Drosophila melanogaster: one gene and its partner. The protein of the gene in region 1 purifies or fractionates together with the protein of each later gene. This does not show direct contact. Each region holds a gene or a part of one and is shown in the gene's direction. Other genes may lie near its edges.

Region 1 (5,080 bases):
CATTGCAAATTGGGTACAAAAATGCTTTGAACATATCTCAGATGCTTACAACTGAATAGAATACCAAGATAGCCAATTTGAAGGAATGCTATCATATACGAAAGATTGCCATGTATATAGAGTACGTGGCATCTCATCAGATATTCGGATTGTAATCACAGTGCTTAGCAATCATTACCCTTTCCGTGATTTTGCGAAGTCCAGCTCCTTTGCGCATGCACGAATATCTGCGGGATACAGATACACAGTTTCTGCTCCACATTCAGTTATACTATACCGTCTCGCGTTCAGAAAGGATGCTACTTTTAAATAAAAACCGAGTGATTTCTTTGGTCGTTAATTTTATTTTTCTTATCATTCTCATTTCATCGAGTGTCCAAGCGGATGAGAGAAACATTAACAAGCTGCTGAACAACCAGGTGGTGGTCAGCCGCCAGATTATGTGCATCCTGGGCAAGAGCGAATGCGACCAACTGGGACTTCAACTCAAAGGTAATAAACATATTCGTTTAATGTTCGTTCAGATACAACATCATTTTAAGTCCAAAGTTCTTTTCAAGTTCTTCGCCAATTGGTAAAGAGCCCAAAATGTAATTATTTCGAATTTGGTTCTTACAGCTGCCCTGCCAGAAGTTATAACCAGGAAATGCAGGAACTGCTCCCCACAACAGGCTCAAAAAGCGCAAAAGCTGACCACATTTCTGCAAACTAGATACCCGGACGTATGGGCCATGCTTCTAAGGAAGTACGACAGTGCCTAAATGGCATTTAAATGTTATTCTCATGCATCGAATATAATAAACTAGTCTCGACATCATTCCTAGCATTTGGTTTCGTAGCTTAGGGGATTTTCTAAGGATTAGGCGGCTGAAAGGAATCCCTCCTTTAAATAAAACATGGCTTTGTACACATGACTGTCTCTTTACATCTTATTATTACATAAACTCTAAAAGTACGTCTTTAAAGGGGCCAGGCCATCATTTACTGTGGCTCTCTAGGTAAACTGTTGCATTGTCCACGCCCATAAACTGGTGTATACTCAGCGAGGACAGCATTTTCATCTGGCCCTGGTACAGCACATCGGCGATGATCTTTTCCGCGTAGATAGCCTGTGTTCCGTCCATGGAGCGAAGCTTGTGTGCGATAATTTTCCCGAAGTTGGAGAAGTGGTCGTCCAGCTGGCTGTCCGCACTCTTTAGGGCCAGCGAAAAGAGGCGCTCAAAGTCAATGGTGGAAATGTCCGCTCGGAATTTACCTGGAGGCGGCTCGTTGTCCTCCGAAATCTGCGAAGAGACCGAGGAGGACCTTTTCCGTGTTATGTGATTGGCTTTCTGGCTCGGGCTCTGATTACTGATCAGTTTCGTTTGGTTCTGGGTGACGATGCGCTTGCACTGCGGCGATTCGGAGTCGCCAGGCGGAGACTTTATGGAGTCGGGCACGGATTTTCTGCGGGCGGACAGCAGCCTGTTGTTAGCAGGCACCACGATTTCGACCTCCTTGATAGTAGCGCCACTGGCATGGCTGTTGGCGTTGTTGACTGTTTTAATACTGATAACGGGGTCAGCGGCAGCGGCGGCGGCGGCCTCCTCGAAGATGTTGGCACAGAATTCGTTGGCGCTGTTGTTGGGTGACATCTTGATCGAGTCTGCCGTCGGCTTTGGGGGCTTGTGCAGGCTCTCGGCGTCGGAATACTCGTCGCCGTTCTCTGGCGCCCCTAGCTGCATGGAGTTGTCCAGGCAGACCGACTGCTCGCGCTTGAACTTCTTGTCGGCGGGGATCTCCTCGTCCTTAAGGAACATCAGGGACTCGAAGTAGCGGCGCTTGGGGCAGTAGGGCTCGTACTTCTCGCCCTTTTTCTTGACCTCGTTGTATTTCCTCAGCTGATGACGAAATGCACAGCGCAGATTGTTTATCTTTTGCTTTGTTCGCTCCACATTGTACATCTCCCCGTGCTTGGTGGCCACCTCGATGAGCTTCGCGTAGGCCTCCTGCCGGCGGCTGCGGTTCCTGAAGTCCGCCGAGTCCGCCTTCCACAAGCACGGATTGCTTTTGTATTCTTCGATGAAGTCGTCGATAAAGTCCATTTTTTGTTTACCAAATGAAAAACACTGTAGTTTACGGGGCCACCTAGTTTATCTATGTGTGCGTGTGCGTGAGTGGCATCAATAGCTATCGTTTCGCTCGGCTCATTCCGATTGGAACACGCGGAATCGGACCGCAAAATGGGTACATACTTTGCTGGTTTGCAGTAATTCCTTAATAAATATCATTTAAAACAATAAAACATCGAAAACTAACCCACGGTTAATATAAAATATAGCAAACGCAAATTCGAATATATCTATGTATATTGCGATATACAATTGTATATTGCGGCGATAAGTTTCTTTATATATTCGGCTGTGTCTACCCCAATACTTTTATTATTTACCTTTATTTTATTATTCATATTTACACGCTATAGTTGGCAGACAAAAATATTAAGTTATTTCTTTCATCGCACTTTCCCGCGTAATTTTTAAATAGTAGTGCTTAGGGAGTGTTGTAAAACACCATTAAAATTTCTTGTTGGAGTAAAAATTTGATCTCAATGAATCACGGTGAACACGGTAATTGTATGCCTATCGATAGTTCCAAATTTTTGACAATAATTGTTCCGGCCCAACCCATCTCTCATCTCTAGATAAACACAATTAAAACGAACAGAAACAATAGGAATAAATAAAGATGAGTGGGGCTCACAGAGAGGCGATCCAAAAGCAGATCCACCAGGACTGGGCGAACAGGGAGTATATCGAAGTGATAACTGCCAGCATAAAGAGAATCACCGACTTTCTGAACTCTTTCGGTAAGCAACCTGCATACGAAGCACCCACTTCCCTCTGACGCATGTGTGTGTGCGCGTGTTTATTATCACTTCCTTTGTAGGTGTGGGTGAACGCATAAGTAATATTACTAACAAATATTCATCAGTGACAATGACTTTATTTACTCAAGTCTTAAGTCTATAGAAACAAACAGTGGTTTGTGCGTGGTGGCATATATGTATAGCAATATATGTATCTACATACATATGGAAATGTATGTATGTAACATCATCGGAGGGCTCAAAACGAAAATTCGGCTTTATCTCTATCCGAATTAGTCACCTAAATGAATTGGATAAGCTTTTTCGGTTGCTCTATGCATAATTTAAGATACGCTAAATACTGTGATAAATGATAAGCCAAAGAGTGCGAGGTAGTTGGGTTGCTAAAATATCCCATATCCTTAATAGGGTTTATGTACACTGTTGGCATTATAAACTGTATCATCGTGTGCTATCATATCCTTTCAGATATGTCCTGTCGCTCCCGTCTGGCGGTGCTGAACGAAAAACTAACGATCCTGGAGCGGCGCATAGACTATCTGGAGGCGTGCGTCGCCCAGGGTGAAACATTAACGTAAACGCTGCCCACAACCTTATACTAAGCTTTGTACATTTATAAGTAATTAAAATACTGATTTAATATTTAATATCTTTTGATTCGCAATGTGAATTGCCGTGACATTAATAATTCGCTGTACATTGTTTGTTTGTTCTTTGAAGGAAGGTTTTCACGGCTGAGTTACTTGCGGCCATCGGATTCGATTCATTGCCCCTTTTAAGAATAATATAAGTAATAGCTCAGAACCAAGACAAGCACGCGATGTTTTTGCCAACTAACCGTAGCTGCCTTTATTGTCAATGTTAATGCAAATCGCCCGCCATATATAAGCCGCTTATTAGGGTCTAGTCGTAATCTTGTGAATGTTTTTTCTAAGACCTTAATTGTGCTTAGATTAATCATCGTTCTAGTAGCAGGAGGCTAGACTTAAGTGCTACATTTGTCATAGTTAATTTATATACTCTCTGAAGCCTGGCAAATCCCCCTTCGATAACGATATAATACTCGGCAGGTGTATGGTAAAAAAACAAATCTCTTTATTCCGAGCACGATCGTAGAAATAATTTTGATGATCAGATATAAGCGTAGACCTAATTAACAGTGCATATAACCAAGAGTTTCCGGAACCGGGATCCGCCTTACACCTTGATTCCCGAGGCCTCGGCGGTGGCGCGGTAGCGCTTGATGTAGATCTCATCGGGATCGTACTTGGCCTGCAGCTGCTTCCACTCCTCGGGCTTGTTTTCGATGATGTAGCGAATGACCTTGTCGGTGTTCTGGCGCTGCTTCTCGCTGCACTTGCTGCACTCCGTCTTCAGGGCGTCCGGCAGGGACTTCTTGAGCTCCCGGCCCTCCGGGGTGCACTTTCCGTTGTCCACCAGGCACTTGAAGTAGTTTCCGAAGAGGCGGTCCGACTTCAGGATCTCGTCGACGTCGATGTTGTCGTACTTGGTGGTGTACTTATCCTCGGCGGCGACCAGCACCAGTCCAAGGACGACAAGCGCAAGTATCATCTTCATCTTGGAGTTTTCTGCGGGCGAATTGGGGTAAGTATGTTTGTACGATTAATCAGCACTTTTGTGGCTTAGTGGGTCTGTTGGTCGGGCAACCAGTTTTGTGCGCAGGGGATTTTACTGGGCAATGGAAAAATATTTTTACTAGCCATCGAGCGCGACTGCATTCGCAAAATGTATCTGTGGACTTATGGGATTTGTATGCAAATTAATGCACAGCCAGGCAGGCCACTTTGTATGCGTATCTGAAACACATTCGCTGTCTGAAAAGATGTCACTGTTTATACACAATGAAACTGGTTGCCCGTCTGGCTGCGTCCATGAGTGTGTGGACTACTACCAGCCACCAGTCGACCAGCCGAGCCGATCGGCTCCAAAAACTATAAACGGTGCGGTGGTCTTACAATGGGGCTCGACTTGTGGGGCGACTCGGAGCGAATAGATGTGAAGCAATTCAGCTGCTGGAACTAACTGAGAAATGTTTCTATGAAGTGGGCTTTTATACCTGGGCCCACTTTTTACCTGGGATTGAACTTCAAGTGTAATACACAACACAAACCGCGCGCTGTGAGCCTGTGTTCGAGCTCGGCTCGTATCCATACGGGATTGCACACACTTTAGACTTTGAAGCGAAAATCG
Region 2 (8,695 bases), on another chromosome or scaffold:
GTGTAGAATACATACAAGCGGCGCGGTGATGTAGCCATGGGCATGGTATCGGTACCATTTGGCCGCTCTTCATAGCGCAACATTAGAAGTTCATTGTTCACCAGATGCATTCTCTCCATGATCATGTGTTCTATCTAAATGAGATATGTAAGGATGTGAAGACCGTTGTCACTCTTTATAATGTTACTTACATACTCAAAGTTTTTATAAAACGACTTCTGACTTTCCGTCGGGTTGCCACTTTTATCATTAATTTTACGGTACAGAAAGCTAAGGACGCGCTGTTTAATGTGCGTTATGGGCAAAACTGTGGTGGCGTCAAGATTGTCAAAGTCTGTGGTAGCCTTCTCGATAAAGTCCCTCGGCCTGGGACCAATAGTCTCCTGCTGGTGGAACTTACCGTCATTCACCCAATAGACGTAAACGCACTGATGCAGCCGGGACATCATCATCACTGTTGAGCCAAACACGGAAATTCCATGATTGTGGGCAATGACGATGGAGTCGTTAGGCAGGATAAGTCTATCTGTGACGACGCCTAGCTTCAAATCCACCAGAAAGAACACATACGAGAAGGCGTCCACTTTGTCGAACAGATCTGGGTACCGTACGTAGTCATCGACCGGCAGTGCGCCGCGCACAACGGTCATGGCAGCCAGCATGGCATAACGACCCTCTTCCAGGAACACACTGAACTCCCGGTGCAGATAGTAGAGGCCAAAGTCGCCTTGGCATAGATTCAGCGTCTCTTTTGTGGGAAACAGGCGTTCAAAGATCCTGCTCTTGAGTATGGTGTCCTGGCTACTGAAGCACTCGCCACTGCCTACATCCGCCTGGCGAATCAGTTCACCCACCGCCGCACAACTAGAACCCCCGTAGCTGTATATGAGCAGACTGCGCTGATCCTGCGAGAAGGCCAACAGTTTTCTGCCATCCGGCGTAAACTTGCGCAGGTAGATCGGCGGAATGGTAATCGAGTCAATTGTCAGGCAAGGCGTGATGCACTTGTAGAAGAGACGCTCGTAGGCCAACAGCGGCATCCTGCCCGGCTGTTGGCCCACGTTGGTGTATCCGGACTCGCGGTTCTGCAGCAGATGCACGAGGTTCTGCGATTGTAGGCGCTTCTTGTAGGCCATTCTGACAGATCCTGGGAAAGTTCTGCCAAGTTCCTATTCCTAATGTCAGCCGGGTTCTTCTTCCGATCGGAAGGTAACTAAAGTAAAGTGTGACCGCAGTTAGATTACAAAAATTTACTCTGTCTACAAAAGTTTTGTTGTTAAAAAATATAAGTATAATAATAATAATATTAATGCTTTTCAAGATTCAAATAAAAAACGTTATTTATAAATAAAATAATTCAATACATCTTACTTTACTTTGTTTAAAAAAATGTGTAAATGAATTATCTATGAAAAGCAAATTTAGATTTATTTATTTTTTTTTTTAAATAAAATTATTCTTGAGTGCTTTTAAATGCTCTAAGTATATTATGTATTTCTGAACCATTAGCCTCTTTGATTACGACACCGTTTCATAAACATTTGATGTATAACATTACATATATTTTTTTAATTTTTATCATTAAATATCGTCAACTTTTAATTCCAAACTTGGTTTTACATCACCTCATCTTTAGCTTACACAAATCCCGCGCAAACGTTCTAACGGTTTTCAAAAAACAATGTATTTTTCGAAAATTTTCGGAATTTTAAATTACTATTTCACTTTATTCAGAGTCGAAATGTTCGCAGACATATAAATATACACATCTGTTAGGGATTACGTTGCCCATTCCAGTGACTGCCAAGCGGAGACTATAGTAAGCTTAGACATTGTAGCCTACAATGTGACGCTTGCCGATGCACTCGCCGATGTAGAACCAGAAGATGACCTCGGCGGTCACCAGGGTGTTAAGCCAGGCCTCGCGAACCGTGAGGTTCTTGTAGGCGCCGGTCTTGGCTCCCTTGATGATGTTGCCCAGTCCTTGGCGAATGGCCGGAATATCGGCGGGCGTCGGGGGCGTCAGTTCCACCTTGGCGTACTTCAGGAACACGTCCAGTTGGGGCCTCGCCTGTGTGAGGAGCCCTGCAAAAAGTGATCATTACATAATTTTGCGATTGACAGGCGCCAATGGTGGTGTATCCATTCGATTGCATTCGATTCACGACACTCACTGTTCACAAGTCCTGATCCCTTGGTAGCCAAACTCGCCATCTTTTCAATTTGGTTCTGCAAGCAGTTGGAATTATACAAGAGGAAATCAACGAAATGTGCGGAAAACTTACCTATTCAGTGTGCGACGAAACAGAGATGTTATGCATTGGGGCCAGGGCTGGAGCACTAGTTATCGATCGGCGGATAAATACCAAAAATACCAAATATACATTTCTAAAGTTAATGGAAGAAACTGCAAACAGTAATTTTAAATAACGTTAATAAAATAGCTTATTATGGATAATATAGAGTTAAAATAAAATAAAATAAATTGAATATATATTTATATTTAAAATATTTCATTCTATACAGTAAATAAACAATATGAAATGAGTTACTGAAAATTCCCTTGCAAAATTTATTTAAATATAGTAATTAAAATACATATTACATTTAATATAAAAATAACTTTTTCCCCACCGCATCGTGCAGTATATTTGTCTGATTTTCCGAAATGATGAATCCCTGCAGTATTTTCGAACCACAAAGCTTCGGTCACACTGCAAAGGTGTGGAAATCTTAGTTTCCACAAAACGAGCAAATATTTGCAGTTTTCAAGCCCCAAATTGGCTAATTAGAGTTCGCATCGGATCGAATTTGCCACCGAACCCCCGAAACGGAAGTGGCTGCTTAATGTTTGTTGTGGTGCCAGCCGCCAAACGAAAAGTGTGACGGGCGGTGAGTGTACGATATGCTGTAAAGTGAGGTGGACTGTGTAAAACTAAGCTGCGCCGTTCAAAACCAAAATCAAAATCGCAGCAGCCACTACGATTAGAAAGTGTGAGAGATACCTTTGTGTGTGCATTGTTGCGATTTAGTGCGAATGTTTCAGTGCGAAAATCTGAAAGAGTCAGCCGTTCCGTCCCACACATATGTATGTACATTTACTTGGGTGCTGCTGCTGCTGCGGTTCATGCGTGTGTGTGAGTGCGTGACGGTCTAATTTGCGTTGGTGGGAGGCCGCCGACGATATACGTATATGCACGTATGGAATAGGTGCCCACGTAAAGGCCCCAGGTCGTAGCACCCAGAAACTGCCACCGAAAAGGGGGGCATTATCGACTAATCTCGCCGGGACTGCAAGGTGCATCTTGCGGGGGTGACTTGGGCGTTACGCCCTTATCACCTCGCTGTGGGTATCGTTTCGTGGGGTGTGGTCCAGACGTCGAGTTCGTCAGTCGCGCATATCACAAAACAATTCAAATGGCATTTTGGTGATTGTAATGAACACGTCTCATGGATACATGGATAAGCGTCTCGTGAAATCTTCTGCAATACCATTCTGAGTCTTGTTCATAGACGGTTTAGTATAGTGATGACAAAATTTCTTTTAAACCAATTTTGATAGTATCCAATTAACTTTTTAAACGTCTACTTTTACGGGAAAATTTATAAACAAAGTTAAACGACAATTTGGGAAGTACAATTTTATCGGAATGAAATGTCTTCAATTGATAATCAGCATAAAAAGAAATCTTTTTATTATTGATCCCAATTTGGCATGAGATTATGTAGTAAATCAGTAAATAAAGGGTTTTATATTTAATTAATTTTAAATGCATTAATTCGTATTAAAACAATTTATTACTTATTAATGCCGTTTTCAGTCGATGAGGACGCACTAATTTACGGGTTTGCCAATTTGGAGATAATTGTCAATCGCGCCCGACCATGCCGCTGCCCAAACGATCCATAGAACCCGTGCATGTGGCCCGCTCCGTGTATCAGCAGGATGAGCTGCAATCCGTGGAGCTGGAGACGGTCACCAACACCACGCTGACGAACATCATTCGCCAGCTGTCCTCGCTGTCCAAGCACGCAGAGGATGTGTTCGGTGAACTGGCCCGCGACGTGGGCAACATCGGGGATCGAGCTAACTCCCTGCAGGCGCGCATCGATCGCCTAGCTATCAAAGTTACCCAGCTGGACAGCACAGTTGAGGAGGTGCCCTTGACGGACATTACCCGAAAGAAGGCCTTCAAGTCGGCCAAGGTTTTTGATCAACAGATCTTCTCGCGCGCCACCATGCCGGCACCAATGATGGACACATATGCCCAGTGCGACAAACCGCCGCCCCTCGACAAGCTTAATGTCTATCGAGACGATGGCAAGGATGGTCTTAAGTTCTACACGGATCCGAACTACTTCTTTGAGTTGTGGCGACAGGAGATGCTGAAGGATACCGAACGTGTGATGCACGACAAGGGCAAGAAGCTGAACAGACCGCGGCAGGATGGCGGTGCCGGCGGAGCTGCTGGACGTGGCAATAAGAAACAGAAGACCAAAATAAGGGTGCCGCACAATACGCGCGAACAGCAGCGACAACGTGCACTGGTGCACGGCGAAACATTGATGCCCAACAACGTCATCTACCGCACACCGAATTCCATGGTCAACGAAGAAGCCGGATACGGAAGTAAGTACTTGGCGAAAGGGATTGGTCTCCGTGTGAGCCAAGTATTCAGTGCGAACCAAATTCATAGGCTGTTATTGGTACGTTCGTTTCGCGCACTGACTATTTGCACTTGTCTTGCCTATTGAATGGTACATCTATTTTAATTATCAATTATGTCCTGTCTGCCCGTGTAGTTCAGCTAGTCAAAATACAGACTGTGGGCGAGGCTGACATCGATTTGCGGCATAGCACTCTCGATGCGCACCACCAAGTTGTCGGTAATATCCAAGACGTAGGTACGATGATGGGGCCACGTAGCTTTCATTTCCGCCCGGCAGACATCCCACGATACAGATGTACCCGCCATTCATTCACCTACTTCACTCAAAAGCTCGCTAGTTTTCGATGCGCCTCAAAACCCAGTTCGAAGATCACTAATTTGTATTATTTTGAAGTTGCTATTAATTGAAATTAACCCACACAATCATGACCCAGAGAAAGGTGACCGAAACAAAGTTTCCAGAGCTTAAAAAATAAATGAAATGGTACTTAACATAAATTCCATCTAAAGTTTGATTAAAATCTCAGATACAGGATATATTCGATCTAATTCATTATTATTACACCATTAGCAAAATGGTCTATGGCCAGTCTAGTTCATCCTCCTGTAAGTTAGCAAGACTTTCGAACTTGATTTGTCTCTAATTTGAATTCACTGACTTTGTTCCAATGAAGTTCGTCTTGTTGATGGTAAATACAATACGGTCAGAGAACCTTACAATTTCATTCTCCGAATGGTCGATTATTTTTCGCAGCTTTTATTTATTTGCATGTTGTTTTTATGAACTACTCTTTCGTTGTTTTCGGTTATGATATTAATGAACGTGAACATAAATATGCATTGCAATTACGAATGGATCAATCGCGCATAACCATCTCATTTACAGATACAGTAAAGCCTTATAATATGCTTTCGCATTTGGAGAATAACAGTAATGTCACCAAGCAAACCGCCGTTGCGATTGCAGGTTAGACATCCACATCCACTTTTAGCAAGCTCAGTAAAGACTATATATGTTCTTTCACTCGCTTCTATCCCCATATTACCTTACTAGCAATCCTTTTTGAGTTCCTTTAGCATTTGTGTGTACAGAGAACACTCTCTTTTTCAAACTATCAATCGGAATGGCGATGATTTATGAGTTTCATTGGTCATGCAAAGTGCAGATTTATTATCTCAAAACACTGTAAACTAGTCACCTTCTAACTTGCAATTTTAATGTAATGTGTGTGCACATTATATTTACAATGCATCTTGCATTTTGCATAATACTTTAATTCATTTCATACTCGCGATTCGTGATTGAGCCGCAGTTTTTGTTTAGGATCCTCCTATCTTTCTGTTGTAGTTCAGTCAATTTCCATATCTACGTCTACATGTCACTCTGCAGCTTTACTAATTCCTTTCTGTCGCCACATCTTATTCTACGAAAGTATCTCTAAATTGTTTTCTGTGCAACGAGCTAACAAAGACTTTTAATCGGATGTTTGTATATTCAACAAAATTTCTATTCGAGTCCAGCGGTCTCATATGCACAGAAATTTGGAATTGCTTGTAATTACATATGTGTCTTATTGTTCCTCGGCTGTAATTACAAAATAATTGGCGTGTTTTTAAATGAGATGTGTGTCCTGTAAAAACGTTCATTTTAATGGGTGGTTAGTCAACGGCTCTAATATCTCACATTCATTATTCTAGATATGGGAGTGTACGATACACGTCCGCCACGTCCTAACTCGATCGAATTGAACCGAAGCTATCAGTCGGAGCAGATCGATGGTAGCACCTACGAGCAGCTTCCACCGCAGATGGGTAATCAGTATGCTGCCACCTTCGGCAACGGCATGGGTGGCCCCCAGCAGATGCACATGCAGCATCAGCAGATGTATGACGCCGGAATGTATCAGTCGCATGCGCTGTACGGCCAAACTGGACAGGGAGTGATGTCGCCGGAGCCCATCTACGGACCGGGAACACCGTCGCGTAACAAACCGCGTCCGTCGCAGCCGCCACCGGCTCCGCCATCGAATGGCAGCGGTGGTGGTACGCCCACAGCCTCCAATGCCAACACTCCGACAAGGGGCAGAAGTATGTCGACCAGTCGGGATGCCTTGCCACCGCCTCCACCAGTTCCAGACGTCATTTCACCAATGTCTGGCATGAACGGAGTCAACAGCGGGCATATGGCGGCCAAACTGCTTGGCCGGGCGAACAGTTCGTCGGGAGCTGGATCTCCCAACAGCGTCCAGAATGCCAATGATATGGTCATGACGCAACTGAGCAATACTTTCCACAGCATCGGTATGACGGGCAATCAACTGAACTCCCTTAGCGACTTGCCGCCACCGCCGCCGGTTCCAGATCAGGTTTGTTGTTCACTGATGGGTGTTAATATATCACAATTTGGTTTAATTTGTGGCAAAACCTTACAGCACTCGCCTAAGATGTCGCCACCTAATGCCGCGCCACCACCGCCGCCGCCACCGCCTCCAGTCGAGGAAGGCATGGGCAGTGGCAACCAACACACGCTGCGCCCGCATCAAATTCTTCCCAAATCACTGGCCAATGGCGAAATGCAGCAGCCCGGCCAACAAAATGGTGTGCCTCACATTGTCGCACCCAAGAAGATGCTGCCTCCATTCCATGACCCACGCAACGACTTGATGAAGGCCATTCGAGATGGTAAGTAATTGCCATTCAAGGTTCGAATGCAAAAATATCATCAAATTAATCTTTCCAGGTATTACTCTACGTAAAGTTGAAAAGTCAGAGCAAAAGGAAATTGAACGAAACGCGGCGCCATTGGATGTGGCTTCAATCTTGGCCAGACGTGTGGCTATCGAATTATCCGAGTCCGAGGATTCGGATAGCGAAGACGACAGCGAGGGCTGGATGGAACCGAACGAAACATCGGCTTGATCCCTGATTAACTCGTTAAAGCCTGACATAATTCTAAAAAACAAAAAGAAGAAGTAATTCCAAAGAGAATTAATCCATACGATGGTCGAAACCAAGCGTGGTATGAAATTGGATTACACAAAAGCACCAAAGCTTTTCTACCACCCTTTATACAATATACACCTAATCCTAAATAATATGTCTAAAATCAAAAGTTTCATTGAATTGTATATACACCAACGAGTAATTATCGTTAAATTAATCGCTATAGTGAACGAACGCATTTGCATTTTAAGCCTAGACGACAATCCAAGGAAAGCGATTTAAAAGACTTGCTAATTTTGTTCGCTTCTTTGGAGTCAAGGTCTGAGTAGATATGGGCTTCTGTATCATAGTAGTCGGTGTTTGGATATTAAATTATAAATAATCGATATTATCACTGAACTCAATCCTACCCCAACTTGCAATCGATACGATTAATATAAAACATTTATCCAAAATGAAAATTTAGAATTTTGTAAATACAAACACATTAAAATATATCGAACTCCGTAGCATTTCAGTATACTCAACAAGCTATGAAATTGTATTATCCTTGTGAAAGTTAAATACCTGTATAATTAATAAAATATGTTTCACGAATATAAGCAGCCATGAATGTGTGGTTAAGTAAGCAAACATGGATGTATGTAATTTTTCTTTACATAAACTAAAATATACAATAAAAAATAAAGTAATTATATTCCAAATTAATGAACATGTCTTGATAGATAACTTTAAATGTTTGTTTGGGAATTTCCTCTGGTCTTATGCTTAAATACCAGAATCTTAATCCTCAATTTTGCTTTTGTTTGAAAAAAGAGCAGTAATGCATTTCAAATACAAAATATTTAGTCATAAATGCTGAAGTGCTTAGCAAAAGTAAGAAAGTATTGAAAAAGTATAAATGTCTGGGCTAGTTTCATATATGGCCTCTTAGTAAGGATTAATACTCCATTCTAAATTATATCCAATTATAGATAATAAAACTTCTTTTCGAGCGCGTTTTGCGGAATAGAGTGCAAGTTCGTACCCACGAGGGTAGCTAGCTTCTTAGCGTACTGGCAAACTGCTGGCACTCGTGTGGT

What was found. Proteins that work in one complex are often made in the same cells at the same time.
Region 2: the proteins of HSPC300 (region 1) and SCAR purify together in Drosophila melanogaster (affinity purification with western blotting; 4 studies listed by BioGRID, with this or other methods). This does not show direct contact.

What each region holds. Positions count from the first base shown.
Region 1 is NT_033778.4:24,026,382-24,031,461, reverse strand, and holds HSPC300 (haematopoietic stem/progenitor cell protein 300), read left to right. Parts: upstream 1-2,672; 5' UTR 2,673-2,727; coding exon 2,728-2,848; intron 2,849-3,337; coding exon 3,338-3,447; 3' UTR 3,448-3,745; downstream 3,746-5,080. Other genes in the region: CG30172 (uncharacterized protein), read left to right, coding at 297-492, 619-761; CG3163 (uncharacterized protein), read right to left, coding at 978-2,084; EbpIII (ejaculatory bulb protein III), read right to left, coding at 4,067-4,447.
Region 2 is NT_033779.5:10,974,077-10,982,771, forward strand, and holds SCAR (SCAR), read left to right. Parts: upstream 1-2,695; 5' UTR 2,696-2,994; intron 2,995-3,821; 5' UTR 3,822-3,885; coding exon 3,886-4,630; intron 4,631-4,803; coding exon 4,804-4,905; intron 4,906-5,556; coding exon 5,557-5,637; intron 5,638-6,368; coding exon 6,369-7,036; intron 7,037-7,102; coding exon 7,103-7,352; intron 7,353-7,410; coding exon 7,411-7,589; coding exon of another isoform or gene 7,590-7,646; 3' UTR 7,647-8,319; downstream 8,320-8,695. Other genes in the region: abo (abnormal oocyte), read right to left, coding at 1-134, 192-1,136; ATPsynG (ATP synthase, subunit G), read right to left, coding at 1,826-2,085, 2,175-2,214; piwi (P-element induced wimpy testis), read right to left, coding at 8,582-8,695.